Linked DNA regions of Cricetulus griseus. The protein of the gene in region 4 interacts with the protein of the main gene of each other region in a pairwise test. Links are inferred from orthologs where the notes say so. Each region holds a gene or a part of one and is shown on either strand. Other genes may lie near its edges.

Region 1 (4,150 bases), on a different chromosome or scaffold from region 4:
TGGTGCACCCCACCCCAGACCAGTGCCCACCATCCCCTGCTCCAGGATATCTGTGTGCCTCTCATCTCTGCTTGTTTGCTTGTTCTCTACTTGGGAGACATTGGATTTTATTTCAGTTTTTGGCAAGTATGAATAATTTGGGGTTTGGGCCTTAATTTGATTTGTGATCATGGAAGTTTAGATTGTAGATATCTTTTTCCTTTTAAAATTTTTTTGTTTTTTGAGATAGGATTTTTCCATATAGCTCTGGCTGTCTGGTACTCACTCTGTAGACCAGGCTGGCCTCAAACTCACAGAGATCCACCTGCCTCTGCCTCCTGAATGCTGGGATCAAAGGTGTGCACCACCACCGCCCAACTCAAAGTACATTTCTGCATTGGCTGGGAATTGAACCTGGGGCCTCCCGTGCGGCAGGCAGAATTCTACCACTGAACCACCAGTGCTTTTGGATGCCTTTAAAAAAAAAAAAAACAAAAAAAAAACTAGTTTTATTAAGAAATGATCCACATTGATGGAATTCATCAGGGTGTTTTCACAGGGGCCCCAGGAGAGTCCCAAATCTAAGCCCAGAGATTGTTCCAGTACTGTTACCGTACACTTTCCTTCCTGTGGGCCTTGCTTTTCCAGGTGACCCTTCACCCTGGTGTGAACCTCTGTGCACTAACTGCTGGAGTTGTAAGGTTGTGGCTGGCCTGCTGCTGGGTGGCACAGGCTCAGGAAGCAACGCAGTGACAGGCCTGCAAGTGCATGCCCACATGGGGACAGAGAACTGCAGTTGCTGCCTCTGCCCATTTCAATAGGAGGAACCTTCCAGTCAGCTCCACTAAGGAGGGGTTCAGTGCCAAGGACTTCTGCCAGCCTGGCAGTAGACAGTCCAGCATACCGTCTGCCCTGGGACTGCTGGAGCATTGTGGTAGTAGGGTGATCTGAGCTGTCCAGGCTGGGTCTGCCAGCTTTGAAAGTCTCCGTGTCTATCTGTGGAGCCTGGCCTGTGGTGGCGAATGGTAGACACACTGTTCTTGCCTGCAGCAGCTACTTGGAGCGTTGTCCAGTAGTTTTGAGCAGGGGCCTCGGGATATTTGGAATTGGGCTTTATGGGGAAGCTGAAGTTAGTCCCCCCCCCCCAGCCTTCCCACTAAGCCTTGTGCTCCTGAAGGCAGCTAACATTGGATGTTTGAGGACTGCAGGCCAATCCCAGGACAGCCCCTCAATCCCATCACCAGCTGTGATCTGGCCCAGCACCCCTCTGGATGGGTTCTGTCCATCCAATAGAAGAGGCTTTGCCTCCTCTATTCCCCAGCCCTCTGACCCCTAGCAGAGTGGGACTAGGGCTTAGAGGGTCTGCTTGAGGCTCACAGCCAGTTCTTAGGGATTCTGAGAATGGTGGGGATGGCTTAGAGCCCTGGTGCTATGCATGATGACCTCTCTGTTGCAGACTATGTCTACTTTGAGAACTCCTCCAGCAACCCGTACCTGATCCGCAGGATTGAAGAGCTCAATAAGGTAAGAGCTCGACACAGTGATGCTGCTGCCTGACCCTGGCAGGGAGGGGTGGAGCCTCCCTGTTGTGGGTGGGCAGGGTCTTCCTACCTGGGTTTTGATGTCCTTCCAGGGGAGGCTGGGAGTGAGTCCCTGTGGCCATGTCTAGGCTTCTTTTTTTTTTTTTTTTTTTTAATTTTATTTTTTTGATGTGTGTGGGTGTTTTGTCTGCGTGTATATCCATGCTTAAGGAGGCTGGAAGAAGGTATTGGATCCCCTGGAACTGGGTAGAGTTATTGTGAGCTGCCATGTGGGTGCTGGGAATCTAAAACAAACCCTGGAAGAACATCCCATGCTCCTAACCACTGAGTCATTTCTCCAGCCCATGCCTAGGCTTGCTTTGTTTATTTGTTTTGTTTTTTTCAAGGTAGGATTTCTCTGTAGCTTTGGAGCCTGTCCTGAAACTCACCCTGTAGACCAGGCTGGCCTCGAACTCACAGAGATCTGCCTGCCTCTGCCTCCCGAGTGCTGGGATAGAGGAGTGTCCCACCACCGCCCAGCCTGCCTAGGCTTCTTGAGGACAAACGTGGGGCTACCTTGAGGCGTCACCAGTTCCGGCACCCCATCTCCCAACAAGTACTGGTCTGTCTAAGGCAGGTTCCCTCATGGACTTGAGCACATCAGGACTCAGAGGGATCTGGATGGTTCTGGAGACTAGTCACAGACCAAGGGCAGTGGCCCTCTGTGCCACTCATCCACACTCTCTCTCTCCTCATTCTCTTCCCATTTCCATTAGCCTAGGTGGCTTCCTGGCTATAGGACTACCATGAACACTGCAAAGTTGTCTACTCTGTCCATTACAGTGTTGAGGGTGTGTGCAGTATTTATACCCTGGGGTCCTATTGGTGTCTTACCCCAGTCGCTGCTTCTGCCATAGTTTGTGTCTGCTGGGAATCCTTGGCAGACACTGAATCCTTGGTCTGGGGGCATGGTTGTTCCATTGCTAGAACCCTGGGATAGTCACACACCACCTAGGGTGGTGGCTAGGAGTGTGGAGAAATGGATGCATGGATTCCAAAAACTCGGCTCCATTCTACTCTGCTTGGAGTGACCTTTTGGCTCTTTGGAGAGTGAGGTGGTCTCAGGTCAGCACAGTCACATAGCAAGCATACCAGGAACCTTCTTGTCCCTTCTGGGTCTCAAGGATCTCATGGCCATATCCCTACTGTGAGCCTCAAATGTGGCCTGCCCACTCTTGGCTCTAAAGTCCCACGTGATTAGAGGCTGGGGTAGGCAGGCCTATCCCTGCTCTGCTTCCTCTAGTGCCAGGCAGAGAGCAGGACCGACCAAATTCCCAGACCTGTGTCTTTGTAGACACTCTTTCCTGCCAGGCTGGGTGGTGACAGGGCCTCCATAGCCTTCTTGAGTACCATAGACCAGTGAGAAGGGCTGCTCTCCTAGACTCAGGCTTGTTGGAATGGTGGCTTGGGATTCTTGGGATCAAATGGGACAGAGAGGGCAAGGTTGGATGCTACCCCGCAGGTGGCCATGTTGAGACCGGACCAGCCCTGCAGGTGGCTCTAGATGGAGGCTTAGGTGTAGCCCCAGCTTCTAGGTCTGGCCTTACCAGCTCCTTGGAACCCATGTTGCCAGGCTGTGCCAAGGCGGTGTGCTGCTACAGCAGCGTCTTCTACAGCCGGGGATAAGCTCTGTATGAGCGTGCGTGTGTGTGCACACACGTGTGTGCTTGTGCACACATCTGGGGATGTTTTGGGAAGATGAATTGGTCCGAGCATACAGGTAGCTTCTAGAGACCTGAGGCCTGTCATGGCCTAGGTGGGCACTAGTGTTTCCTCTGATGTACTCACTGGGACCAGATCCTAGACAGGTGCCCCATGGTTGGCTCTGGCCACAGTTGTCAATAGGCAAGATAGTAGGTTGGGTAGCTGGAACTCTACCAGCTACTATAGGTGTGGACCAACAGGCTCTCATTTACACATTTCAGTTACACAGACTTGGACATGAACAAACAGGTTTGTAGAGGAGTATCCCAGCTGCAGTGAGCAGCCACCAGAGGGTGTCCACTGGCCCAGCACATGGGAGCTGTGTCAGCCCCATCATTTTGAGTGACATTGTAGCCTAGGTGTCTCAAAGCCAAGTGCCAAGGACAAGTCAAGTAGTAGGGAGTTGTGAGCTGGGCTGGCAGTCTCAGATTCCCAGGTGTAGACCAGCCTCTCTGTCTCTCAGTGTCAGACCTCTGTTACTGGGATGGGGCTCCTATCCAGGCTTCCGTTTTGGCCATTGCCATGGACCCCTGTAGTATGGATGTCTACGGTAGACAGTACCTCTGATCTCCACAGTCTGTGAGAGGTCCTCTAGGTTTCGCCCTTCAGTACTTGAGATTAACAAGGCACCATGAACTCACTTGATGTCCCTGGCTTCCATCCACAGCTAGCAAGTTCAACACACATGAAATTGCCTCAGGTCCCTGCTACAGAGCAAAGACAAGTGCCTTCAGTGATGAGAAACTCCTGAGGCTAAGCAAGATTAATGCCTAATACGTGGAAATGGGGCTAGGAGGAAAAGGGGACAGCTAGTGCAGGGGACAGAATCCAGGGCTCAGGAAGGGAGAGACAGTACCAAGCCTGAGCAGGTCTATGGACAGGGGACA
Region 2 (4,271 bases), on a different chromosome or scaffold from region 4:
CACATGGTGCCCTCTTCTGGTGTGCAGATATACATGGAAGCAGAATGTTGTATACATAATAAATAAATCTCTCTCTCTAAAAAAAAAAAGATGGAGGGCAACTGAGAAAGAAAGATACCACCACCAAACTCTGGCCTCCACATGCACACTCATGCTTGCATGCATACAGGCAGGCACAAGCTGGCGCGTGAACACACACACACACACACACACACATACACACACACACACACACACACACACAAATGAATGCATGAATGAACACACACATGCAGCTGATGACCTTCAGTCATAAAAATAATTTCTGGACACAGACAACAGGAGTGGAGTACAGGAGGGAATCCAGTAAGTCTGGGGTACCACCTCCTTCCTCTGGGGCACACGGCGCCACCACACGTGGTCACAGGAGGAGCAGGCAAACTGTCGGTCCACGGCAGGGATGAGGTCGTCTTGGGCTCTTTGGAACATTCGAAGATTGGCTTTTGTCAGGGGCAACAGAGAGGTGGCCACTGCCTGAAACATGGATGAATGGGGACAAAACAGGGTCACCTCTGCCTGTGGAGCCCACAGCGACCATCCTTACTGCTATATACCTTGGACAGTTATCCATCCTGCCTCATCCCAGCCAAAAAACACACCTGGATATCTCGGTCTTGCTTCATGTCCTCGGGTGGGTCCTGAGGGGAGACACGGAAAAGGAGTACAGAGACTGGAAAGGCTCTATCTAGGAGTCCTATACCCATGTTGAATGGGGGAGAAGCCCCTGCATGGGGCTCCTGGACTTCAGACAGAGATGAAACATTATTGCCTGTGTTGACAGATAGAGCCAGTGCCTACAATGAATGAAGTCCCAAAGATCCTTAAGAAGCAAATACTTGGCTAGTCTCATTTCCCAGAATCTGAACCCACTCAGTGATCGTGGCCCATGGAACCCAGAGCCCTGGATGACCTTTCAATCTGCAGAGGCCACACATGTGACACCTGGCCACTGAAGCCACATAGCTTTTAAAGATTAAAAAGTTTAAAAATGTGTATGTCTGTGTACATGTACATATGTGTAGTGCCCATAGAGGCCAGAAGAGGGTGTCAGATACCCCTGGAACTGGAGTGGTTGTGAACTGTCCCATGTAGGTGCTGAGAATGGAATTAGGGTCCCCTGTGAGAGCAGCAAGTGCTCTCAACAGCTGAGGTATCTCTCAGCTCCTTGGCCACATGGCTTTAAAAGGCTCCAGTTTGGGGGCTTGCAACCGGTTGGCTGCTCTATTGCTCCCAGATGGGGATGGTGGGCAAGTCCCTCTCTTTGAGGGTTCTCACAGAAGGGCCTCTCAGAGCCCGAGCTTCATTGCAAATGGCTAGAATTTGAATCCCTGAAGTCAAATGCTGGTCCCCAGAACTTGGTGAAATGTCATGAGCCTGAGCTTTCTTGTGTAATAGGATTGCCTCCCGGAAGCAGAAGAAAGGGATATGAAATGAACCAAGGCCTGGAGGTTTGCCCCTCAGGCTCTCTCCATGAAGGCAACTTCCTTCTATTATTAATTTGTCATATTCCTTATAGACCTAAACCAAAGGAATATGATTTGTCAGATTCTTTTAGGTGCCCAGCATGGTGGTGCACGCCTTTGATTCCCAGTGCTTGGGAGGCAGAGGCAGGTGGATCTCTGTGAGTTCAAAGCCAGCTTGGCCTGTAAAGTGAGTTTCAGGACAGTCCAGGGCTACATAGTGAGACCCTGTCTCAAAAAAACAAAACAAAACAAAACTTTGGCAAGCCTTTCAAGCAAGTTCAGCACACAGGGTACAGCCACAGAAGTGATTCTATGAATTTATCCCTTCTCCTCCATTGGGACCTCTTTCCCCCCCAGGCCAGCCCAGCCTTTCTTCTAGTGAAAGGTAGAATTAGTTTCCTTGAGCCTTCCTCAACAGCCAGGACCTCCTTATCCGACTGTCCTGTCTCCTCCTCCATCTGAGGCAATCAGCACATAATGAGCGCCTACTGTTTGCAGGCTGCTTCGGACAAGGAAGGAACTTAGATAGCAAGATGGGCTCTCACAGTATCTCTCTTTGAGGAGAGAGGGAGTTCAGGTTACCTGAGCGTCCAAATCGTTGCTCAGCTCCTGTCCATCTTTCTGCTTGACACCTAGTGGGGAAATATGGGAAGGGCTCTTGAAGGGTGAGTAGGAGTTCCAGGTGGTGGAGAGCCTCCTGTCAAGGGGAGCCAGGGTCGCTACAGCGAGCGACAACCACACCCACGCAGTACCCCCTGGGCGGACTCACCATACACGATAGAGCGCCCTACTCCGGTGTGGTCGCTGCCAAACTTCCTCATAAGAGCCCCTGCCTTCTTGGGGGACACTTTTCCATGAAACTTCTCCCGGAGGCGCCTGACGCTCTTCTCCAACTGGGATGGAGGGGAGGTGAGCGCTGGTGTGGGGGACGACTGGGGAGCGGCGCCCGCCCCTCATTCTCCTGAACTTGACCCCGGCTTCTGGCCTCCGCACCCTCTCCCCTCCCCCTCCCTTTAAGCCATTTCCTGGAAAAATCCAAAGTTCTCCAGGCATTGGGGGATGGTGCAGACTGCGGCGGGTGCCAGCCTGCCGGGTGCGAATTTGCGGTCTGGCGTGCGTGCGTGTGAGCCGGGATGCAGGCCAGGTCACCCCCTTTCCTTCTAACCTCTGACCCTGCAGCCCCGCTACGGCCGGGACGGAGGGGGAGGCGGCCCAGGGGGTCGGGGTGTCCCCGGAGCCCTCCCCGCGCGGCCTGTCTCGGGTGGCGCGACTGTCCTACCTCCACGCCGTCCTGAGCCATGGTGGCCGGTGCGCACCTGGCCGCGCCCGGGTCCGGGCCCCGCAGGGCTGGGTGGCGTCGGCGCGGCTCCGCCTCCCTCGGTCCCCTCTTTCGGTTTCGTTTCTGCGCGAAGCTGGGGACCCCGCGGGGACCCCGCCCCGGCCGTGCGGCTGCGTGTCTGCTCGCGCGCCCCGCGGTGCTCCCGGGGCGGTGCTCCCGGCCTCAGCGCGCGCCTCCCCGCGTCCTGCGCAGCAGCGCGGCCGGGCCGGGGATGCAGCGCGCGGCCTCTGCAGTCGGTCACATGTCCCCACGCTGCGCGGGGTCCGCGTCTTCACGTCCCCCGTGGGGGCGGGGCCGCACCGCGCGCGGACGCGGGTCTCGGTGCTCCCACGCTGCTCCTCCTAGACCGCGGGCGAGCTTTGCTCTACTCAGAGGCTCCTACCCGCAGCATCTTTTCCCCCTAGCTCCCTCCAGCCAGTCTCAGTTTCCTCCTCTGTAAAATGGGCACGCAAGCCAGGCTTGGCGACACACACTGGTCACCTCAGCATTTGGAAAGTGGGGGCAGGAGAAGCAAGAGTTCAAGGCTGTCCTGGGCTACATGGACCCTGTTTCAAAAAGAAAGGAAAAAAAAAAAAAAGAAAAGAGGAAAATATCCCAGGACAAAATGAGAGAACTTTTTTTGGGGCAACTTTCATGAACTTCTTGAGCGGTGAATGGGCCCTAGATTTAAGAGGCCTGCCTGCCTGGGTTTTCCTTGCTGCGACCCTCTTTCTTGCCCTTTTTGGTACAGGGGTTGGGTTTCTCACTTTGACCCAGGAGCACTCAAAGCTTGGTTTCCTTCACTAATCAGGGTGGATAGCACAAGTGCAGATAATGGTGGTATAATGGTGAACCGGAAACCAACACCAGAGGGAAGTGGAAACTATCTTCCCACCCCCCCTCCTCTTTCCAGGGCCCTGTAGTTTCAAGGCGGCTCCCTTAATCCAGGCTCCCCTGGACTTTGTATGTCACTGTCTCCCCCTGCCTCTACATTCTGAATTCTGGGGTCACAGATGTGTACCTAGGGTCTCACAGCATAGCCCAGGCTGGCCTTGAATGTGGTTTGGTGGCCCTTCAGCCTCAGTCTCCCCAGTACTGAGATTACAGATGTGAGCCTCCATGTTTGGTCTTCCAGGGGGACTTAATGGCACTCAGCACAATGTGGGACATAGATAATGCACCAATCATCGGGTGACCTTTGGAGTTTCATGCAGGTTGGAGGCAGAGTAAGGATGTGAAGAAAACACACTCTTGGTCCCTAACACCTTGTACTTCTGGCTCATGGGAATACACATTGCAAATTTAAAGGCTAATAACCATGTGGGCAGTGTGTGTGAGACCCTGGTTTCCCCCCGGGCCTGGAAGGAACACCTCCACATGGATCGGCATCAATAAATTATATTGAAATATTACAGCTATTATGGGGAAATGGGCTAGAATTTCCTCAGGAA
Region 3 (4,017 bases), on a different chromosome or scaffold from region 4:
TGTAGATGCAATGCAAGTGTTGGGAACTGAACCCAGGTCCTCTGGAAGAGCAGCCAGTGCTCTTAACTGCTGAGCCATCTATCTAGTTCCCCATTTTCATCTTCCTTTTTTGTTTGTTTTATTTTGGTTTTATTATTCGAGACAGGGTTTCTCTGTAAATATCTCTGGCTATCCTGGAACTCGCTTTGTAGACCAGGCTGGCCTTGAACTCATAGAGATCTGCTTGCCTCAGCCTTCTGAGTGCTGGGATTAAAGGTGTGCACCTCTACCACCCATCCATTTTCATTTCTTAATGAAAACAATTTGTATTTCTTTATATGCATTTTTCTTTAAAAGCTTTTTATTATGATGATTGTTGGTTTTTTGTGTATGTGCATGCATGTGTGCATATGTATGACTTGCATGCCATAGGATCTATGTGGAGACCAGAGGACAACTTTGTAGAGTAAGTTTGCTCCTTCCACCTTCACACAGGTTCTAGGAATTGAACTCAGGTTATTAGGTATGTGCCGAAAGGGCAGCACTGAGCCACTGAGCCATTGAGTCATCTTCCTTCCTCTAGGGGCATTTTTATACTACTTAAAATAATCAATTTACTAAAAAATAGTGAAGATTTTTTAAAATATAATTTGTCACCCTTTTTCCATTAAAAAAAATGTAGCGTAGGTTGGCCTCAAAGTTATGTCTCTCCTGTTCTAACCTCTTAAGTGCTGGGACTACAGGGATAGAGCATCATGACTAGCAATGCTGGCAACTTCTAAAGGAATGGTTTCTACTATTAAACCAGGCACTTCTGAAACCACCATCTCCTGTTTTGAAACTACCATCTCCAGGGTCCTCTACTTGCCAGAAGCAGAGAGACACCACGGTGGATTCTGAATAGCTCTGCTGAGGGCATCTTGATGGAGGAGACAAAGGACCATCTCCATTTGTGATCCTGGAAGGGCTACCGCCATTCTTACCAGGGTATAGTTCAGCTGGCAACATGGTGGCTCAGAGAAGTAACTCATGGAACATACCCCACATACTTCTTTCATTAAAAGATAGTCTTCAGAGGTGAGATGGCAGAGTACTGGCTTGCTCTCACAGCTTGCTCAGGCCACCTTCTTATAGAGCCCAGGAGCAGAAGTCCAGGGATGGCACCAACCACCATGGGCTGGGTCCTCCCCCACTTGATGATTAAATGAGAAAATGTCTTTATAATCGGATCTCACTGAGGCATTTCCTCAACCAAGGCTCCTTCCACTGATGACTCTAGCTTGTGTCAAGCTGACACACAAAACCACCCAGTACACACTCCAAGGCTGTTTATTGTACCATTGGGATTTCTGGTCCACATCCTGTCCTGGCTTTGAGGACCTTTTCTCTGTGCAGCCTCACATCATCCAGATTAAGGAATTACTTCTGAAGGCAAGGCAAACTCCAGCTCTGCAAACTTACACAAGGGCAGCAGGTTTGAGCAGGGTCAAAGAAGAAAAATCACAACTTCATGGAAGAAATCAAAGCTCACTGAAATCAGGGGTGGGCCCAACTGGGACCTTGCCATGGACTCAGATGTCCTTGTCACATGGACACAAGGCACATACATATGCAGGCACAACTGCTCAGTATGAAGACTACTCTCATGAAGTCTGCAGGGTTTTCATCCCGTGTCAAGGTTCTGAATTTGCCGTTCAACAGCGAGAGCTCCATTGCCCGGCACTGGCTTCTCTAATTGCCACCTCATGGGCTGTACATCACATCTGGCTTTTTGTCTGTGCACATGTCCAAATTCCAAGACATGCAAAACTTCCAAAGACAAAAATATCTGCATGTATCTGAATATCCAGTTACTATGGAGACTGAAATCAAAGTGAACTATCTAATGAGAGGTTTTCTCCCATTTTTTTAAAAAAAGACATAATTCTTGCCTGATGCCTTACAGTTTTGGAGCATGTTGAAATGCCTGCTGGTTATTATTCCAAACACATTTTGCTAATATGCAATTGCATATTCTAATGAGAATAGCTGATGACAGCTCATTTTCACGGCTGTGCCCCCTGGGACCCTCACAAATTCTCTGATTACATGGAAAGGCAGTATTTTCAGAACTTCTGCAACTCTGAAGAGGCCTTCTCTCAGCCTGGATGGAGTACCAGTCTGGGTGGATGCTGACTCTGGCACAGACCAAATTACACTCACCTCTTTGAAGGGACCCGAGAGACATTTTGTTAAGTTGTCACCAAATTCAGTTTGCAAATGACTTCAGTCAAGAGTAATCCACTTAATTCCTGGGTGCTTCATTTAGAATTCATAACGATTTTCAAAGCAACCCATGAACACACTGGCACACGCTCAATTTTGTCACTTGTGTGTAGAGGAATTGGATTGACCCTACCAATAACCCAGTTAGACAAGTAAATTTCATTATGGTCTGCACTGCTCTCAAGCTATCTTTGGGGACACACGGCGAATTGCCCCTCACATGACGAGGAAGAAGTGTCCTCCCTCTGGCTGAGGCTCCTCTGACCTTGCATAGCTTCTCCTCTGTCTCTGTACCCTGATTGCTTGGAATAGCCCTGCACCCACCACAATGCTACACGCTCAACCTCACATGACTGAAAAACCACATTCATCCTCGAGGTCACTAGCTGTCTCCAGACCCTTTGCCCAGAATGCCCTCCCTTCAACTCCCCAGCAATGAAACATGGTACCTCTCCCTAACACATGGGTGCTGGGGCCAGGCATGTTCTTATAATACCTCACACAACACATGCAGTACCTCACGTTCTGAAATTCTGTGTATTTCTTGTAGTACTTCATGGTGGTACCCAAATTCCAGCATAGTCCTGATAAATGAAGACTTTTCAGTTTCACAGCACAGGTGGAGGTCCATGCTCCCAGTGACATGTCTACCACCCATCTCACTAAGACAGTAGTTTCTGGTCATTAGTTACCACCCTGGTTTCTAATTGAGGGATTGTTGTCCATCTAAGGAATTCATGTGGTAGCAGAGCTGGTCTAAAGACCCTACTTTGAGGATTCAGCCCAGCTGAGGGGCTGTGTTAGAATGTCAAACAGACTATCCTAAACATAGGATGCCACTGTAAGGTGGCTGTATGAGGATGGCTTGGACCACAGTAGATACTCAAAGTTTTCAGAGATAGGTACAAAGTTATTCATGTCATGAACAAGCTTATTTACATACTGAGTAAATTCCTTAGCCCACTAAACCCCAAGTTTCCCATCTGTGAAATAACAGCAACAATGCGGAATTCAAAACTCATTGTGAGATTAAATGAAAAGGCTGGGTTGCAAAAGTGTAGGGAGCTCTGTGAAGTCCATTGTAGATGTTGCAGTAAGTGCTGATGTGCTGGGTTGTCTCTACATATAGAGAATGACGAAAGGAGAAAACAAAGTTCCACTTACGTCTCACCTTGGAAGGAAGCTCCCGTTGCTACTCTGTTCCTGCGAACCCCAGTGTCACCATTGGAGGCAGCTACTCAGGTGATACCAAAAGGCCAGGTCCTTTTGTTTTTTTTCTCACTGTCTCTTTGGTCCATCCTCTCATTGGGTCTTAACATGCCTTGATTTTCTCAATCACTGAAGGTCTTATAACAGAGGAAGGGCCACAGTCCAACAAGGAACATTGCCACAAAGGGCATGTGTGGGGACACTGGACAGCATGGGGGGTATGTCCTGAGGAGGTGGTAGGTGGACCATGTCTTGAGAATTAAGCAGTTTATATGTCTGAAGGAAGGACTTATCAGGAAGTAGCTCACTCCAGAAGTAAAGGCCATGGAGGAAGTGGCCTATAAAGAAGGAAGGCTAATATGGTGTGAGAGAGTCTAGGGGGCACTGCTGAGAGGGAGTTTAGAGTGTTGGAGTTAAATCAAGGGCAGCTTATCATTCTGTATTTTGGGCCACGGGTTTAGAGTAGCCATAGGAAGGGTTGATTATTGCAATATTCTGAGAAAGGCCCTGAGTCCTTGGGCATTTATTCTATCATTCATTCCTCAAACTTCTAGAGGTAATTGT
Region 4 (4,062 bases):
TTATTGTGAAACAGGGAAGAGTTAGACAATAAATTTATAAAATTCTTGAGAAATGCTAAGGTATCTGTAATTGTCAGCTGTTACTACCATCAAAATATGCAAAGAATACATTTTTGTTTTACTTTATTATGTAACTCTGCATTTCATTCTTAAGCTTATAATAGAAACAAGATTATAAATGTACAATATCTAAAAAATATTACTCCTAATATTGCATGACTATTTATTCCTTTTTTGGAAGTGGATACAGCTCTATTTTCTTGTTGTACAGTAGAGCTACAGAAATAGCCATTAGTGGAGTTAATTCTTCACCCAAGCAATGGCAGGAGGGAGAGTGGCCTCACCCTGGCACTTGGGGCGGGTGATGTTATGCAACAATACACACTGTATGTCACATCTACCTTGAGAGACACTGGGATGCTCAAACCACACAGTGGGCCTGCCTCTGGTTTTGTTCCAGCTTAGTCAGTGTCTGCCCTGGTTCAGTTTATACCCATGAAATCTCTCGGTAGAACTCTCCCTATAGTCCTTGGCACAGTGGCCACTTCACTTACCTCTTCGTGGCTTTTCTTAAGGCAAAGGAGATCACTTTTCAGGGACTCCACGTGGGCCTCCAGATCTGACTTGCACAGGGTCAGTTCACCCAGGATCCCACGAAGGCCACCGATGTCATTCTCCACCAGCTGGCGAAGAGACAGTTCACTCTCATACCTTTCACAGCAAGAGAAAGAAAAGGGAGTGTGTTACTTGGCTAAACACTGACCAAAGTGCCGGGGTACAAGGATGAGTGACATGTGGCCTCCAGGGAGACACATGTCACAATTCCCCGGGTATCCCAAATGATGGTGAATTCAAGTTTCAAACATTCTAAATTAAAAAAAAAAGATCTCATGCAGAGAATTCTCTATCACTGGAGGCCATTATTATTTTCAAATTAAATTTAAGATTTAGAATGCAATTTGTATACATAAAATACAATGTGGTTTAAAAAATAAATACAATTTGACTTACTTTGACCTAAAATCATCAGCAGCCAGTTTGCAGTTGTCCACCTGTACGGCAAGTCTAGAATTCTCTGCCTTCGTGCACAGTATCTAAGAGGCAAGTCATTATGTAATCAACAGCTCTTTGGAAGAAACCCACATTTCTGTTTTAACAGTCTGCCATTCATTAGCTTAACAAAATTAGCATAACATAATTTTCAGCCTATAACTATACCATGGAGAAAAAAGGAGACATGCAGTGCCAATTTAGAAACAAAATACAGACATAAAAATAGGTTCTCTTTCTAAAAAAAGATTTTATCTTTTTTCCAATTGTGTGTGAGAGTGTGTATGTATTTGATCTCTCTCTCTCTCTCTCTCTCTCTCTCTCTCTCTCTCTCTCTCTCTCTCTGACTCTGTGTGTGTGTGTGTGTAGACTTGTTCTTTGCCTTAGGATGCCAGAAGAGAGTGTCAGGTCCTCGGGAGATGAACTTATAGGTGGTTGTGAACTGCCATATATGGGTATTGGGAACTGAACTCAGGTTGCTCATGAGCGCTACAGTGCTGCTATCCACTGCTGAGTCATTTCTGCATCTCAAGGTTTCCTTTATAAGTGACACAAGGCAGGACATTTGGCAGTCATCATTGACAGCTGAGCTTTGTTAGTTTTCTCCACTGCTAATATTTATTAGAGTTGCATCTCTGTCTGTGGTCATAGAAATTCATCAATGAAAAAAGAAAGAAGGCTTTGTCAGTAGAGCATTTGCAATACAAGTAGGAGGACCCAGGTTCAAACCGTAGAACTCATGTATAGAAAGCTAAGTATAGCAGTGTGTGCCTGTTACCCCTGCAAGGGGAGACAGAGACAGCAGTATCCCTGGGACTCTCTGGCCAGCCACCCAGTGAGTCAAATCAGTGAGCCCCAGGTCCCTTGAGAGACTCTGTCTCAAAACACAAGGCGGGGAGTGGAAGACGCTTGCCATTGACCTCAGGCCTCATTGACAGCATGTATTCCCTCTCTACATGCACACGAAAGGAAAATGATTACCAGGTGAACTAAAAGAGATGGCATTTGATGTCTGTTTGATAAGGAATATAAATAAGTAATGATACATGCAGAACAGATTTTAGATATCATAATTCAGATTCCCCCTCTCTGTAGATGACATAGTCTACACACAGACATGACATTTCTATGGTCAATAGTGCTGATACTGAGACAGATTTCTTGCCATCTATGGCCCTCTTTTCCTGGCAGCATACCAGCTCTGGGAATCCCTCCTCCCTGGTTTTACATCCATAAAACAACCCGCGCCACTGTAAATATAAGAGAATTCTGAAACAGGAAACAGAGAACATTAGGGAATGAGACACACAACCTTTTGCTGGAGTTCTTCAATGGTGTCGAAGTAACGCTGATAATCTGGGCACACCAATGGGGCATCGGGCTCGCATTGCTCTCGGATCCTGCATTCGAGCTCCGCATTGTTCTCCTCCAGGCTTCTCACCCTTTCCAGGTAGCTGGCCAGTCTGTCATTCAGGAACTGCATCGTCTCCTTCTCATTGCTGTTGAACGCCCCTTCCTCGCACCATGCACAGCTCCCCACCAGGCACGGACTGTTACAACCGCCAGCGAAGTAGCAGGGTGAGAGGCGACCGGCTGAGAGGTGAGCCCTGCAGAGGAAGCTCGGGGTCTGACATCTGGATGTGGCACAGGTACTGGGCAGGCAAGTTGTATCGGTGGGACAGGGTGAGGCAGCCGCACAGTCCGGAGCCTCTGCACAGGGCTCAGAGGAGCAGCACCCAGGGGAGCCATCAGAAGCCATCTTCTGTGAAGGAATGAACAGACCGGATGCTGTAGTGCCGAGGTCTTGTCTCCAAACATCTCCTTCCCCCCCTGAGACCTTTATATCACCCTTCAAATGGGTGTTTACAGGCCACACCGATGTTTCCTCTAGCACCGCGGGTGCTAGTTTTCCTACAAACATCTCATTAGTGTTGCTTATTTACCGAGGAAGTTTTATGCCTCGTAAAAGGAGGATAAGTTCAGGTTACTAAATCAGGACGACTGTCATTTCCACGTGTTGCTTGGATAAAATCCTTATTTTAGCGAATAGCCATAGGAAACATTATCCCGTTGAAAGAATAAGGAACCCAAGAGAAAATCTGAGCCATTGGTAATCATAGGTAGAGCTCATTAGAGATACAGAAAGTAATATTTCCATAGGTTTTGATTTTGAAAATCGATTGCTCTTGTCTACTTTAAAAGTGGACACCACAGCTCATTAAATTGCATGTATTTGTTTGTGCTACCAGCCACCACAATGATAGTTAGCAATCGTGAAGGGCATGCATGCCTGCGTGTGTGCGTGCGTGCGTGCGTGCGTGCGTGTGGTGTGTGTGTGTGTGTGTGTGTGTGTGTGTGTGTGTCCTTGAAGCCTGTGCTTACATGGTAAAGAGAAAGGTGTATATACTGAGTGTAAAGCACGTGAGATCATTTTATACAACAATGAGAATAAGTTGTGTCCTGTGAGCCAAGACAGAAAGTGGTTGTCAAGATCTGAATTGTGGTCTTTGGTTATCTCAAACATTCTATCGCTAGCCAAACAGTGATCATGACCACCCCTGCTTAGTTTTTGAGATTGGATATGCTCAGAGTGGATGGTCATACACATAAGCTTTGCCTTCTCGTATTTCCATGTTAGATTCCTTATGCTACTTTTAAAAAGCTGTTATCATTCATTTATTTTGGTGTTGAGGCTCAGACATAAGGTATTGTGTTATTCTTTTGTTTAAAAAGAAGAAAAGAGAAATATTGAGACAGACATATTGACTTAAGACTATAAGTTTATTATAAGGCCCGGTAGAATGGAATGGGGAGACTAAGAGGGACAGGGTAATGGCTGACCGCCATGGCCGGTCGCCATAGAGAGACAGCGGGGAAACAGAGAGAGGGGACAGAGAGCAGGAACAGGGGGAGAGAGAGAGAGCGCGCGAGCGTAAAGGGGCAGAGAGAGAGAGAGAGAAAGGTGCAGGGGCCTATCTTTTAAAGGGGTCCTCTGCACCTGCGTGCAGACTT

What was found.
Region 1: the proteins of keratin, type I cytoskeletal 40 (region 4) and Mta1 interact in binary tests that used the Homo sapiens proteins (3 or more experiments, as listed by UniProt). The two-hybrid records come from large-scale screens. The link is inferred for Cricetulus griseus from reciprocal best matches to the Homo sapiens genes KRT40 and MTA1.
Region 2: the proteins of keratin, type I cytoskeletal 40 (region 4) and Shfl interact in binary tests that used the Homo sapiens proteins (3 or more experiments, as listed by UniProt). The two-hybrid records come from large-scale screens. The link is inferred for Cricetulus griseus from reciprocal best matches to the Homo sapiens genes KRT40 and SHFL.
Region 3: the proteins of keratin, type I cytoskeletal 40 (region 4) and Dlgap2 interact in a two-hybrid assay, tested with the Homo sapiens proteins (2 studies listed by BioGRID). The link is inferred for Cricetulus griseus from reciprocal best matches to the Homo sapiens genes KRT40 and DLGAP2.

The regions. Positions count from the first base shown.
Region 1 is NC_048598.1:180,939,066-180,943,215, reverse strand, and holds the start of Mta1 (metastasis-associated protein MTA1), read left to right. Parts: upstream 1-1,348; 5' UTR 1,349-1,410; coding exon 1,411-1,503; intron 1,504-4,150. UniProt on the Homo sapiens protein: Transcriptional coregulator which can act as both a transcriptional corepressor and coactivator. Acts as a component of the histone deacetylase NuRD complex which participates in the remodeling of chromatin.
Region 2 is NC_048597.1:133,744,036-133,748,306, reverse strand, and holds the start of Shfl (shiftless antiviral inhibitor of ribosomal frameshifting protein), read right to left. Parts: upstream 2,803-4,271; coding exon 2,782-2,802; intron 2,396-2,781; coding exon 2,272-2,395; intron 2,135-2,271; coding exon 2,085-2,134; intron 678-2,084; coding exon 639-677; intron 514-638; coding exon 364-513; intron 1-363.
Region 3 is NW_023276807.1:66,276,310-66,280,326, forward strand, and holds the start of Dlgap2 (disks large-associated protein 2), read right to left. Parts: upstream 2,803-4,017; coding exon 2,762-2,802; intron 1-2,761.
Region 4 is NC_048600.1:113,049,062-113,053,123, reverse strand, and holds the start of keratin, type I cytoskeletal 40, read right to left. Parts: upstream 2,810-4,062; coding exon 2,363-2,809; intron 1,095-2,362; coding exon 1,012-1,094; intron 712-1,011; coding exon 555-711; intron 1-554. UniProt on the Homo sapiens protein: May play a role in late hair differentiation.